Saccharomyces cerevisiae S288C: one gene and its partner. The protein of the gene in region 2 binds, or shares a complex with, the protein of the main gene of each other region. Each region holds a gene or a part of one and is shown on either strand. Other genes may lie near its edges.

Region 1 (8,555 bases), 730 kb from region 2:
TTTCATGTTAGCTTTGAAAAAAATTGTTCCGTCATCTGCGAGATCTACTGGTAGTTCTCCTCAGCCACTACCTGAATTAATCAAACCATTACTGGCAGATCAACTTAATAATTTAAAGAACAAGCTGGATTATATGCTGAACATTAAAGACACAACTTTTCAGAGAAACACATCATTGCTACAAAATTTCATCGATTATGAAGAATACAGTGGAGAGGAAGAAGAGCATGACAAATATGGAGGAAATGAAGATACATCCAGTTTTAGATCATATGAGTTTTTCGAATCGATGGCGGAATCACAAATTTGTAAACCTCGGTTATTAATAAATGGGCCCAAGGGAAATGGTCAACAATATGTCGGAGCCGCAATTTTAAATTATTTAGAAGAATTCAACGTCCAAAACCTGGACCTTGCCTCTTTGGTTTCGGAAAGTTCTAGGACTATTGAAGCTGCTGTAGTGCAAAGTTTTATGGAAGCAAAGAAAAGACAGCCCTCAGTTGTATTTATTCCTAATTTAGACATTTGGATCAACACTATTCCAGAAAACGTTATTTTAGTCTTATCAGGTTTGTTCAGATCTTTACAAAGCAATGAAAAAATTCTTCTATTATGCTTAGCTGAAAATCTTGATATATCTGAAGTTAAAAATGGTATTTTATCTGATTTTGCTTTTGATAAAAATATCTTTCAACTGCATAAACCATCCAAAGAGAATATAACGAGGTATTTTTCTAATTTAATTGAACTACTGAAAACAAAGCCAAGTGATATTCCCATGAAAAAGAGAAGAGTCAAACCGTTACCTGAATTACAAAAAGTAACTTCAAACGCAGCTCCAACAAATTTTGATGAAAATGGTGAGCCACTGTCTGAAAAAGTGGTATTAAGAAGGAAGTTGAAATCTTTTCAACACCAAGATATGAGATTGAAAAATGTGTTAAAAATCAAACTCTCAGGCTTGATGGATCTTTTTAAAAACAGATATAAAAGGTTTAGAAAACCACCTATTGATGATGCCTTCTTGGTTCATCTTTTCGAACCAGAGACAAGCAATGATCCCAATTGGCAACCTGCATATATAAAAGATGAGAACATGATTCTGGAGGTTTCAACAGGGCGAAAGTTTTTTAACATGGATTTGGATATTGTCGAAGAGAGACTTTGGAATGGCTATTACTCAGAACCAAAACAGTTTTTAAAAGACATTGAACTGATATACAGGGATGCAAATACCATTGGGGACAGAGAACGTGTCATTAAGGCCTCTGAGATGTTTGCCAACGCGCAAATGGGTATCGAAGAAATTTCAACCCCGGATTTTATTCAAGAGTGTAAAGCTACTCGCCAAAGGGATTTGGAAAGGCAGGAACTTTTCTTAGAAGATGAAGAGAAAAGAGCTGCAATGGAATTAGAAGCCAAAGAACAGAGTCAAGAAAATATACTGCAAGAACCTGATTTAAAGGATAACAAGGCTAATGAGTTTGGTGTAGCTGCTGGTAATCAATTGCAAGCTCAGCTGCAAACAACTATCAATACAGCCTCTATCGTTAATAACAGCGAGGTCCCTCAACCAATTGATACCAACCTGTATAAAAAGGAGATTCCTGCGGCAATTCCCTCTGCAGTAGATAAAGAAAAAGCGGTCATCCCTGAGGATAGCGGTGCAAATGAAGAATACACAACGGAACTGATACAGGCCACTTGCACGTCAGAGATAACCACCGATGATGATGAAAGGGCCAGAAAAGAACCAAAAGAGAATGAAGACTCTTTGCAAACGCAGGTTACGGAAGAAAACTTCAGCAAAATAGACGCTAATACTAATAATATAAATCACGTAAAGGAAATTCAATCGGTTAACAAACCAAATTCCCTCCACGAAACGGTAGAAAAAAGGGAACGAAGTCCGATACCAAAAGAGGTTGTGGAACCGGAGCAAGGGAAGAAGAGCGACAAGGAGCTTATTTTGACGCCCGAACAAATAAAAAAAGTATCTGCATGCTTAATCGAACACTGTCAGAATTTTACGGTTTCTCAATTAGAAGATGTTCATTCGTCCGTTGCAAAAATAATATGGAAAAGTAAATCAGCATGGGATAAAACAGGAACTGTCGATGAAATAATAAAATTTTTATCTGAATAAGCAGGAGTCCATAATGTTTATATAATTCTTAAATGTAGTTAGTTCATATACATGAATGTGCACTTTTCTTGAAAAGAAATAGATTTAAAACCACACCTTGTATATATATTATGCTTTTTTCCACTACTTTATTTTAACAGTCACTGTTCTGGCATACGTTTCGGGTAATGACCGAGAATGGAATATGTATTGAACATATTGAAATTAAACATGTTCATAATATCTTCTAACACCATTGGAATTGTGAGAAGTAGATCCGTACCATCAATAGCCGGCTCAAGATGTCAACTGAATACTCTGCTGATTCATCTAAATCATTTATGATTGCAATGCAATCTATGATTGATACTTCACAAACCTTTAATCTAGATAGATCGAAAATCTCTTTACCAGATTTTGATGACGAGCTAAAAAAAGTCCAAAAGGATGAACAAAATCAAAGAACTGAACTAACTGTTCTCTCACAAGATAGAAATGATTGGGATGATATATTTGAGGAGTTTAAAGACATTTCATTTGCTCAACTGCAATCTATAATTGATTCATACAAAACAAAGAATGCAGTTGCAGTATATAAAAAAATTGGAAAACTAATCAATGAAGCTGAAACGACACTAAGCAGCAATGTATTATTAGAAACTGTACTGCAAATGGTTTATAAACATCAAAAGCAAGAGTTAGAGAAAGAATTGTTGGATTTTTTAGGAACAGGGAATATAGACCTTGTTTCTCTGTTACTTCAGCATAGAAGAATGATCGTTGCTACACCTATAGAAACGACGATTCTGCTAATAAAAAATGCGGTCAATTCAACGCCAGAGTTCCTGACACAGCAAGATATCAGGAATCAAGTTTTGAAAAGTGCAGAGGATGCCAAGAATAGGAAATTAAATCCCGCCACTAAAATAATCAAGTACCCACACGTCTTCAGAAAATATGAAGCAGGATCCACTACAGCTATGGCCTTTGCCGGTCAAAAATTCACTTTGCCAGTAGGGACTACAAGGATGTCGTACAATACCCATGAAGAAATTATAATTCCGGCAGCAGATCAGGCATCCAACAAGAACTATCTCTATACAAAACTATTGAAAATAAGTGATTTGGATCATTTTTGCAAGACTGTATTTCCCTATGAAACTTTAAACCAAATACAATCCCTTGTTTACCCCGTAGCTTATAAAACAAATGAAAATATGCTAATTTGTGCACCTACTGGTGCAGGTAAAACAGACATTGCATTACTGACAATAATTAATACAATAAAACAATTCTCCGTGGTCAACGGGGAAAATGAAATTGATATTCAATATGATGATTTTAAAGTTATTTATGTTGCCCCTTTGAAAGCACTCGCTGCTGAAATCGTCGACAAGTTTAGTAAGAAATTGGCGCCTTTTAATATACAAGTAAGGGAGTTAACAGGCGATATGCAATTGACAAAGGCGGAAATTTTAGCCACTCAAGTAATAGTCACAACCCCTGAGAAATGGGACGTTGTCACCCGTAAAGCAAACGGCGACAACGATTTGGTTTCAAAGGTCAAATTACTAATTATTGATGAAGTTCATTTACTGCACGAAGATAGAGGTTCGGTTATTGAAACTTTAGTTGCACGTACCTTGAGACAGGTAGAAAGCTCTCAATCAATGATTCGTATTATCGGTCTATCAGCTACATTACCCAATTTTATGGATGTAGCAGATTTCTTAGGAGTAAATAGACAGATCGGAATGTTCTATTTTGATCAATCATTCCGTCCAAAGCCTCTAGAGCAGCAACTTTTGGGCTGTAGAGGTAAGGCAGGTAGTAGACAAAGTAAAGAGAATATCGATAAAGTCGCTTACGACAAATTGAGTGAAATGATTCAAAGAGGGTACCAGGTAATGGTATTTGTCCACTCAAGAAAGGAAACTGTTAAAAGTGCAAGAAACTTTATCAAACTAGCAGAATCTAACCACGAAGTTGACCTTTTTGCACCTGACCCTATCGAAAAGGATAAATATTCTAGAAGTTTAGTGAAGAACAGAGACAAGGATATGAAGGAGATTTTTCAATTTGGTTTTGGTATCCATCATGCTGGTATGGCCCGTTCAGATAGAAATCTTACTGAAAAAATGTTTAAAGACGGTGCTATCAAGGTACTGTGTTGTACTGCAACATTAGCATGGGGTGTTAATTTACCTGCTGATTGTGTTATCATCAAGGGTACACAAGTATATGATTCTAAAAAGGGTGGATTCATAGATCTAGGTATTTCAGATGTTATTCAGATTTTTGGCAGGGGTGGTAGGCCGGGCTTCGGTTCCGCAAATGGTACGGGTATTTTATGTACTTCCAATGATCGTCTGGATCATTATGTTTCCTTAATTACTCAACAACACCCTATCGAATCTAGATTCGGTTCCAAGTTGGTTGATAACCTGAACGCCGAAATTTCATTGGGGAGCGTGACAAATGTAGATGAAGCAATCGAATGGCTTGGTTACACATACATGTTTGTTCGTATGAGAAAAAATCCTTTTACTTACGGTATTGATTGGGAGGAAATTGCAAATGACCCGCAATTATATGAACGGAGGAGAAAAATGATCGTAGTAGCTGCAAGGCGATTACATGCTCTCCAAATGATTGTGTTCGATGAAGTGTCAATGCATTTCATTGCAAAGGATTTGGGCAGGGTGTCCTCTGATTTTTATCTTTTGAACGAATCCGTCGAGATATTCAATCAAATGTGTGATCCCAGAGCCACCGAAGCTGATGTATTGTCCATGATCAGTATGAGCAGTGAATTTGACGGTATAAAATTTAGAGAAGAAGAATCCAAGGAGTTGAAGAGACTTTCTGATGAATCTGTTGAGTGCCAGATTGGAAGCCAACTTGACACCCCTCAAGGTAAAGCAAACGTGCTATTACAGGCTTATATTTCCCAGACTAGAATTTTTGACTCAGCACTATCATCCGATTCGAATTATGTTGCTCAGAACTCTGTTAGAATTTGTAGAGCATTGTTTTTAATAGGTGTCAATAGAAGATGGGGTAAATTTTCAAACGTCATGCTAAATATTTGCAAATCTATTGAAAAGAGGCTCTGGGCCTTTGATCACCCTCTCTGTCAGTTTGATTTGCCTGAAAATATTATCAGACGCATCAGAGATACTAAACCTTCCATGGAGCATCTTTTAGAATTAGAGGCAGATGAGCTCGGAGAGCTGGTGCATAATAAGAAGGCCGGGTCTAGGTTATATAAAATATTGAGCCGATTTCCAAAGATTAATATAGAAGCTGAGATTTTCCCCATTACAACAAATGTAATGAGGATACATATTGCATTAGGTCCAGACTTTGTATGGGATTCCCGGATACATGGTGATGCACAGTTTTTTTGGGTTTTCGTTGAAGAATCTGATAAGTCGCAAATCCTTCATTTTGAAAAGTTCATCTTAAACAGAAGGCAGTTGAATAATCAGCATGAAATGGACTTCATGATCCCATTGTCAGACCCTTTGCCTCCGCAGGTTGTCGTAAAGGTTGTGTCGGATACTTGGATTGGCTGTGAATCGACCCATGCCATCTCTTTTCAACATTTAATCAGACCATTTAACGAAACTTTACAGACAAAATTGTTGAAGTTACGTCCTCTACCTACATCAGCCCTCCAGAATCCTTTAATTGAGTCAATTTATCCTTTCAAGTATTTCAATCCCATGCAAACTATGACATTTTATACACTTTACAATACCAATGAGAATGCGTTTGTTGGCTCGCCTACAGGTTCTGGTAAAACGATTGTGGCTGAATTGGCTATATGGCATGCCTTCAAAACATTTCCTGGGAAAAAGATTGTTTATATCGCACCAATGAAAGCATTAGTACGTGAAAGGGTTGATGACTGGAGAAAGAAAATAACACCAGTGACCGGAGATAAAGTTGTAGAGTTAACCGGTGATTCTTTGCCAGATCCTAAAGATGTGCATGATGCCACCATTGTTATTACAACTCCAGAAAAGTTTGATGGTATTTCCCGTAATTGGCAAACTCGTAAGTTTGTTCAAGATGTATCTTTAATTATCATGGATGAAATTCATTTGTTGGCTAGTGATCGTGGTCCTATCTTAGAAATGATTGTTAGTCGTATGAATTATATTTCCTCTCAAACCAAGCAACCGGTCAGACTGCTAGGTATGTCAACTGCTGTTTCAAACGCCTACGACATGGCTGGCTGGTTGGGAGTTAAGGACCACGGACTGTATAACTTCCCGTCAAGCGTCCGTCCGGTTCCATTGAAAATGTACATTGATGGATTTCCAGATAATTTGGCATTCTGTCCTCTGATGAAAACAATGAACAAACCTGTGTTTATGGCCATTAAACAACATTCACCTGATAAACCAGCATTAATATTTGTTGCATCGCGTAGACAAACTAGACTAACGGCTTTAGACTTGATCCACTTATGTGGAATGGAAGATAATCCACGTAGGTTTTTGAATATAGACGATGAGGAGGAACTGCAATATTACTTATCACAGGTCACTGACGACACTTTAAAGTTATCACTCCAGTTCGGTATTGGATTGCATCATGCAGGTCTAGTGCAAAAAGATCGTTCTATTTCTCATCAGTTGTTTCAAAAAAACAAAATTCAGATTCTGATCGCTACATCAACCCTAGCGTGGGGTGTCAATTTGCCAGCTCACTTGGTTATCATCAAAGGTACACAATTTTTTGATGCAAAAATTGAAGGATATAGAGATATGGATTTAACAGATATCTTGCAAATGATGGGGAGAGCTGGTAGACCGGCTTATGACACTACAGGTACTGCTATCGTTTATACAAAAGAGTCCAAAAAAATGTTTTATAAACATTTCCTAAACGTTGGTTTTCCTGTCGAGTCCTCCTTGCACAAGGTATTAGATGATCATTTAGGTGCAGAAATAACGTCAGGTAGCATAACTAATAAGCAAGAAGCGTTAGATTTTTTGAGTTGGACATTTTTGTTTCGTAGAGCGCATCATAACCCGACATATTATGGCATTGAAGATGATACAAGTACAGCAGGAGTCAGTGAACATTTGAGTTCTTTGATAGATAGCACATTAGAAAATCTGCGAGAATCACAATGTGTTTTATTACATGGAGATGATATTGTTGCTACGCCATTCTTAAGTATATCCTCATACTACTATATTTCACATTTAACGATACGCCAATTATTGAAACAGATACATGATCATGCGACTTTTCAAGAGGTATTACGATGGTTATCGTTGGCTGTTGAGTATAATGAATTGCCTGTAAGAGGTGGTGAAATTATCATGAATGAAGAAATGTCGCAGCAATCGAGGTACTCCGTTGAAAGCACTTTTACCGATGAATTCGAATTACCGATGTGGGATCCACATGTAAAAACATTTTTATTACTTCAAGCTCATTTAAGCCGTGTAGATTTACCGATTGCAGATTATATCCAGGATACCGTATCAGTTTTGGATCAATCTCTACGTATTCTACAGGCTTATATTGATGTCGCCAGTGAATTGGGTTACTTTCATACGGTATTGACCATGATAAAGATGATGCAATGCATAAAGCAAGGGTATTGGTATGAAGACGATCCTGTTAGTGTACTTCCAGGATTACAACTGAGAAGAATCAAAGATTACACTTTTAGCGAGCAGGGGTTCATTGAAATGACGCCGCAGCAAAAGAAGAAAAAGCTGTTAACCTTGGAGGAAATAGGAAGGTTTGGATATAAGAAATTATTAAATGTTTTTGATCAACTAACTTTTGGAATGACAGAAAGCGAAGATACGAAAAAACGTTTCGTCAGTGTCTGCCAAAGATTACCGGTTTTAGAAGGCATGAAATTTGAAGAACAGGAAAATAACGAGGTGTTAACATTTTATAGCAAGCACCTTTCTAGTAAGCATAATAATGGGTTTGAAGTATATTGTGATAAATTCCCTAAGATACAAAAAGAACTATGGTTTTTAATTGGACACAAAGGCGATGAACTGCTGATGATTAAAAGGTGTCAACCAAAACAAATGAATAAAGAGGTCATAATACATTGTGATCTATTTATTCCCGAAGAAATTCGTGGCGAAGAATTGCAATTTTCCCTTATTAATGACGCTTTAGGATTACGTTATGATATGGTCCATAAACTAATCTCTTAGTGAGACACAATTAAAACAACAATTATTTTGTGAAAGATAACAGTGGAAATCTATCTAGTATACATCTTCGTATATATTTTCTTACATAACGCATTTAGAATTTTTTTACTCAAAAAAGTCATCCTTTTCATCTTCTCCCACAACTTGATCCAATTCTTTTCTATCCTGTGTAGGTGATACTTGTGATCCATCCTCATGATCTTTATCAGGTGATAATGTTAATC
Region 2 (5,564 bases):
AATAACACATTCGTAGCTGCTACCAAATCGGGATTATTACATATTATAAAAAAAGGAGAAGATAAAAAGTTAATAAAACTAGCATCCCTTGGACTGAAAGCACCAGTAGAATTTCTTCAGTTATATGATCTAGAAGATACCGATACTGATAAATATATATTTGCATACGGAGGGGAGGAGAATTTAATAAAATTAGTGGAAATAGATTCGAGTTTCCAATCTTTAAAGCAAATTTGGGAAGCCAAGAATGTTAAAAACGACAGGTTGGATATGAGAGTCCCAGTATGGCCCATGGCCCTAAGATTTTTGGAGCCCTCCCCTGGTAAAACTGAAAAGGGTAAGCTGAACTACCAGTTTGCAGCCATAACCCGTTGGTCCCACCTCACCAAATACAGCACACAACATGGCAGAAAACCGTTCGCTCAGATAGATTTATTACCTAACCGTGAACCATTATCTCAGATGGAAGTTTTTGATGCCAAGGGAGAAAATGTTGTCTCTTCGTTGGGGAATTTTCAATCTGAAACCTTTAATGAACTGAATGTGATTACTACTGACTACAAAAAGAATGTTTTTAAATTCGATGGTAATGGAAGAATGTTGGGCAAGGTGGGTAGAGATGATATCACTGGTTCGTCAACCTATATTCATGTACATGACGGCAAATATCTTTTACAAGGTGGTTTAGATAGGTATGTTCGGATCTTCGATATAAAAACTAACAAAATGCTGGTGAAGGTTTATGTTGGGTCCCGTATAAATTTTATTGTTATGCTGGATGACGTTGAAATCGAGATGCCACTAAGTCCAAGTGCGAAAGCTGCCAAAGGGAAGCAAAAAAGGAAGGTTACAGAACTTGAAGAAGACGCAGATGAGCTTTGGAATAAATTGGAGGGAAAGGTAGCTGCTTCTAAAGCCAGTAAGAAAAGCAAAATTTAATAGTAAAGGACGCTAATTGAAGGCAAAGTTTTACTAGTCGGCGGGAAAAATTATTAAAAAAAGCACTTCCTGAACGCGACGCTGAATAACTTATAATACGTTACATAATTGTATACCGTCTAGTAAACTTACATACGCTTGTCTATCTTGTATGCTGATGCATTTTATCAAATAGCGTTATTTCCCGCACGAGCCAATTTTTTATCGTGCCCCTTCTTACGGTTATGGTTAGCTCTAGCCCCTTTCCTTTTTTCATTCTTAGCATGCTGTCTTTTCTTCTGTTCAGTAGATTGAGGTTCATGTTTCTTAATATTTTCAGATTTTTTTTGTTTGGCTTGTTCTTTGACGACATTTCCATCATTTTGGCTATCACGATTATGAACATAAGACGTTTTCCCTGTTTTGCTATTTCCTTTGAACATAAACTTCTTTTCTAAAAGTCTTGCTCGGGTAGGAGATCTTTCTAACATCCGACACCAACCTTCGATTTTTTCATCCGACCATGAAGTCATTTCTTTCATAGTTTTCCTGACTTTTGTACCTCTTTTTGATCTCTCAAATAATTTCGGATCCTCTTTCAATAGATTCCACAAGTAAGCTTCAACAATATGATAGTTATGATCTTGTCGCACTTCATTAGAATCATCTTTTGTATCATAGCTTTCTTCGTCTTCTTGAAGTCCAATTCTTTTCGAAGGATCGGACCGGTTCACATCGGCTTCATCATAAGTGTCATCCCTTTCATCTTCATCAGCCTCGTATAAAAGTTTCAATGCTCTTGTCAAAGTTTTATTTCTTAATTCATCCGGAACACCCTCCGAGATAATCTTTTTGTCTAGCTCTTTATTTTTTGAGCTATCTCCTCTATCCAATATACTCAGTTCTTCAGTAAAGGATGCATTATCACCATCTGACACCGGCTCTACTTCTTCCTCCGCAGGTTCTCTGGAGAATGCTTCGATAATGGTAGGATCCTCAAATATTTTATTCGTTACTAATTCAATGTTATTATCATAGGCAAGCAACGTTTGAGATAATTGATATTTAGAAAACTGGGGGAACAATTCCATCAACGCGGACAGTTGTTCTTCATTAACTTCAGTACCTGATGATGTTGGATAGCTCATATGGTCTCCTTCGTCCATTGACAACCCCCCTAAATTCAGAAATAGTAACTTGCTCTTCAAATCAGGAAGCCTTTTGTGGACTCCTTCATTTATGAGCATTGTTCCTAAAAGAGGATATAACGCCAAAGTTTCAAAATTGCTTATGCCTAATTCTTTAGTTATTTTTAGTAAACGATCAGCAGAAACAGAAAATAAACTGATAATGATCAATTCTCTAGCCTCTTTATGACCCCGGCCCTGTCCCTTTGCCCATAATGCCTCTAAAATTTCAATCCAATTTGCCGTAAAGAAGTTCTCCGCAAACTTATTTGGCTGCATGGATTTGGCAGACAGCAGATCTTCAACGCACCTTAAATCTATTCTTTTAAATTTTCCAGATTCTATTAACTGCTTCAAATGCTGTTGAACTTGGTACGATTTGTCCAATTGTACACGTTGCGTGTTGATCCGTGGTTTCAATGAGCCATCGATCAAACCACGAATAGAATCTGGATTACGTCTAACATATACTTTGATCAAATTCCACAGGGAGTCACCAAAAATCTGAAGATGTAATAACCCGCATTTCTTGATCAATGAAAATATCCAGCCTTTTAGTAAATATAACTGTTCAGACACATCATGGTTGATACCGAGACTTAATAACTTTCCTTCCTCATCAGCAATTTCATGCAAGTAAGTTCTCAAAAATAAACGAAGATGATCAAGTGTAGATTCATCTAATAATTCAACGTTAGCACCTTGCATCAAATACTCAAAATACGTTACATAGGTTTCTATTAGATGCAGCCATACTACGGGGTCCTTTTCAATTAATTGAGCTCTGAGTTTAAACGGTGGAAATTTGACAATGGGCAGAGAAATATCTGCATTACCCCCATTTATTTCAATAACGCGGTTGTACCTTGATAACATTATTCTTAGTGATTCTATCCTATAAAAATTTCCAAGATTCAATAGTTAACTCGAATGTCTCTCATTTATGAGAACTAGTGTTTTATATTTTCATTTTTTCTATGGCCGCGCAAAATCCATTGGCAGATATTCAGGTATATAAACGTTACAAAGCCAAGAGGAGAATGGAAGGCCAACAAAAAAATTCTTGTACAATTGCATATATTGATTCATTACAATATTACTGCCGTCGTTCTCTCAGTCATAAATCATGTTTTCCCTTTCCCTCTCAGCATGCTTTTTCTCGGCCTCTTCCATTAAGCGAGTCTTATGAGACTTGGCACGCTCTTGAGCTAGCTTTTTGCCTAACTCGCCCTTATTGTACTTTTCATTCGTCTCTTGAAATCTCTTCTCAGCAGCTAACCTTGCGGCCTCCTTTGGGCTAACTTTATTTTTGCTCGGATCACTTGTATCAGTTAATTTGCTGCCTTCTTTCCTTTGCACAACCGGGACAGTTGTACTCTTTAGTTGTGTCTTCTTCTTTTTATCTTTCTTCTCTTTATGTCGAAGTTCTTGCTTTGACTTGACTGTATCACGATTAATTGGTTTTGTTCTTGCTTTAGTTGCCACCGTCGTAGTTTGTGAAGGCATTGGTTGGGTTTTACTTCCGCAAAGCCCCATACTATGTACTTAAATATTTGTTGTTGTTTGCTGGTGCAAATTTCCTGGATGATGTTAATGATAATTATAGACCGCTTTTATATAGTCTTATGCCTATCCTTTTCATTTTTATTTTTCTAGAGGGAAAAAATCGCTGATTACATGAGGGAAAAAAATATACACATTTCTTGATCATAGAAGATTCGATCTTATATATTATACGTTTAAATGTTTATTTACAAGCATGCATAAATTGAGATGGGGAGAATGAATGCGCTAGTACTATTGCTCCTTAGCAATAAAGCTATGTAGTTGAGGAACAGGAATGTCCTCGGCACTCAAGTCAGAATAACCGCTCAGATACTCATTTAATATTGGGTATGACTCTGCGCATCCAGTGGTATACCTATATACTTGCTTGGTAGCGCGAAAGTAGGGCGTATATCTTTTTAATATTTTCAAGTACAGCTCTATTCTGTCTTCTGAATTCGAAGTAGAATCCTCATTTTTCAAATTTTCCAATGGCTTCGGAACTTTTATGTCGTCTTCTGTGGTCGTAGTCGTTGCTGGTGTTCCTTTAGCTTTTGCAGAAAAGACCTTTTCATCCCTCTTTGATTGTGACCATACGACAGTGGCATCCCTCAAAGCGGACAGATCAGCATTGGCTATATATTGTTGGCCCAATTCATTCAGTTTCTTGACCAACTCCAGCCATCTATCCAGAATCTCTTCATTATTCGTGTTGTCTATGCTTCCCAATGATTTCAGTAGTATTCTATATGATATAATAGTTCTTGGAATATGGTACAAAGTATAGTTTTTATCGATAAAATCGATTATGCTGCGTTCGTGCCAGATAGATGCTCTAGTTAACATAACGTTAAAAAATGGTTCATCAATTTTTTTGACCCCACTGTAAAACGTTATGATTTCTTGAAGCTTACGGAAACCATTGATATTGTCATTAATATAGTTTTCGAAGAATATTGTGAAAAAAGTGTTGTTTAGTGAGGACAAAATTCCAGGATTAACAGTGTTACCATAAAATTTTACAGCCTTTTCCCATATTCTATAAACATGATCAAAATCGTTCTGTGCTTTCCATATATTCTGCAAAAAAGAGTTCACTGTAGAGACTTGTAAAATAATCTTGTATGGCATTTCATCGTTGATAATTTTGTCAAAGAAACTTTCTGCCAACGTTAAATTCTTGGAATCACCAATGAAGCTTAAGTGCGTTTCAATTAAATAACCGTAATTCCTCACTTCAGCCTTTTCACATAATTGGCCGAAGAGGGATAATGCCTTTTCGTAGTCTTCCGCCTTGATGAAGACTTTTATCAGTCCGCTGTAAAGATTGGGATGGATAAATTCTTTGGATTGAATAATTTGGTTATATAGCTCGTTAGGCTCAGTCAGAGAACGCGTTTTTGCATAAAGTAATGGCAGCATAAAACCAACCACTTTTGGTTCTTGGAATGCCTGTGAAGTAGTCTCGTCGGACAAATTCTTTGACGCTTCCCAAATTCGAATACAGTCATCGTCAAATGACAGCTCTTTAAATGAAGTCAATAGATGAGTAGCTCCATATCCGCTGACAGACACCTTGCCTATCAAAATGTCATCAGATATATCCTTTAATGAATTACATAGAAAGTTCATCATTTCCTTGTGAAAAGATTGCGAATCGTAGTCTGGCTTTCTACTTAATTTTACCAATTGGTCTCTCGTCGACCTCAGACCGTTATGCAGCAGATGAATCAAACGTGACACCCGGTACGCATTGAAATCAGGCGATTCTCTCAAAGAATAGTATAACTCCATTGCTCTGCCCATGGAGTCCCAAAACATGGCGAATGATGGATTTTTATTCAATTGGTTGTTTCCTATTCTTTTGTATGTATTTTGCAAAGGCGTGGTAGAGTACTTTAAAGCAGATGATAC

The links. Proteins that work in one complex are often made in the same cells at the same time.
Region 1: CUE3 (region 2) and SLH1 share a complex: the UniProt entries of both Saccharomyces cerevisiae proteins name them as parts of the RQT (ribosome quality control trigger) complex.

What each region holds. Positions count from the first base shown.
Region 1 is NC_001139.9:1,029,364-1,037,918, forward strand, and holds SLH1 (RNA helicase), read left to right. Parts: upstream 1-2,427; coding exon 2,428-8,331; downstream 8,332-8,555. Other genes in the region: chromatin segregase YTA7, read left to right, coding at 1-2,146; EFG1 (Efg1p), read right to left, coding at 8,437-8,555. UniProt on the Saccharomyces cerevisiae protein: Involved in activation of the ribosome quality control (RQC) pathway, a pathway that degrades nascent peptide chains during problematic translation.
Region 2 is NC_001139.9:300,431-305,994, forward strand, and holds CUE3 (Cue3p), read right to left. Parts: upstream 2,982-5,564; coding exon 1,107-2,981; downstream 1-1,106. Other genes in the region: ribosome biosynthesis protein NSA1, read left to right, coding at 1-939; YGL108C (uncharacterized protein), read right to left, coding at 3,219-3,641; RMD9 (Rmd9p), read right to left, coding at 3,903-5,564. UniProt on the Saccharomyces cerevisiae protein: Involved in activation of the ribosome quality control (RQC) pathway, a pathway that degrades nascent peptide chains during problematic translation.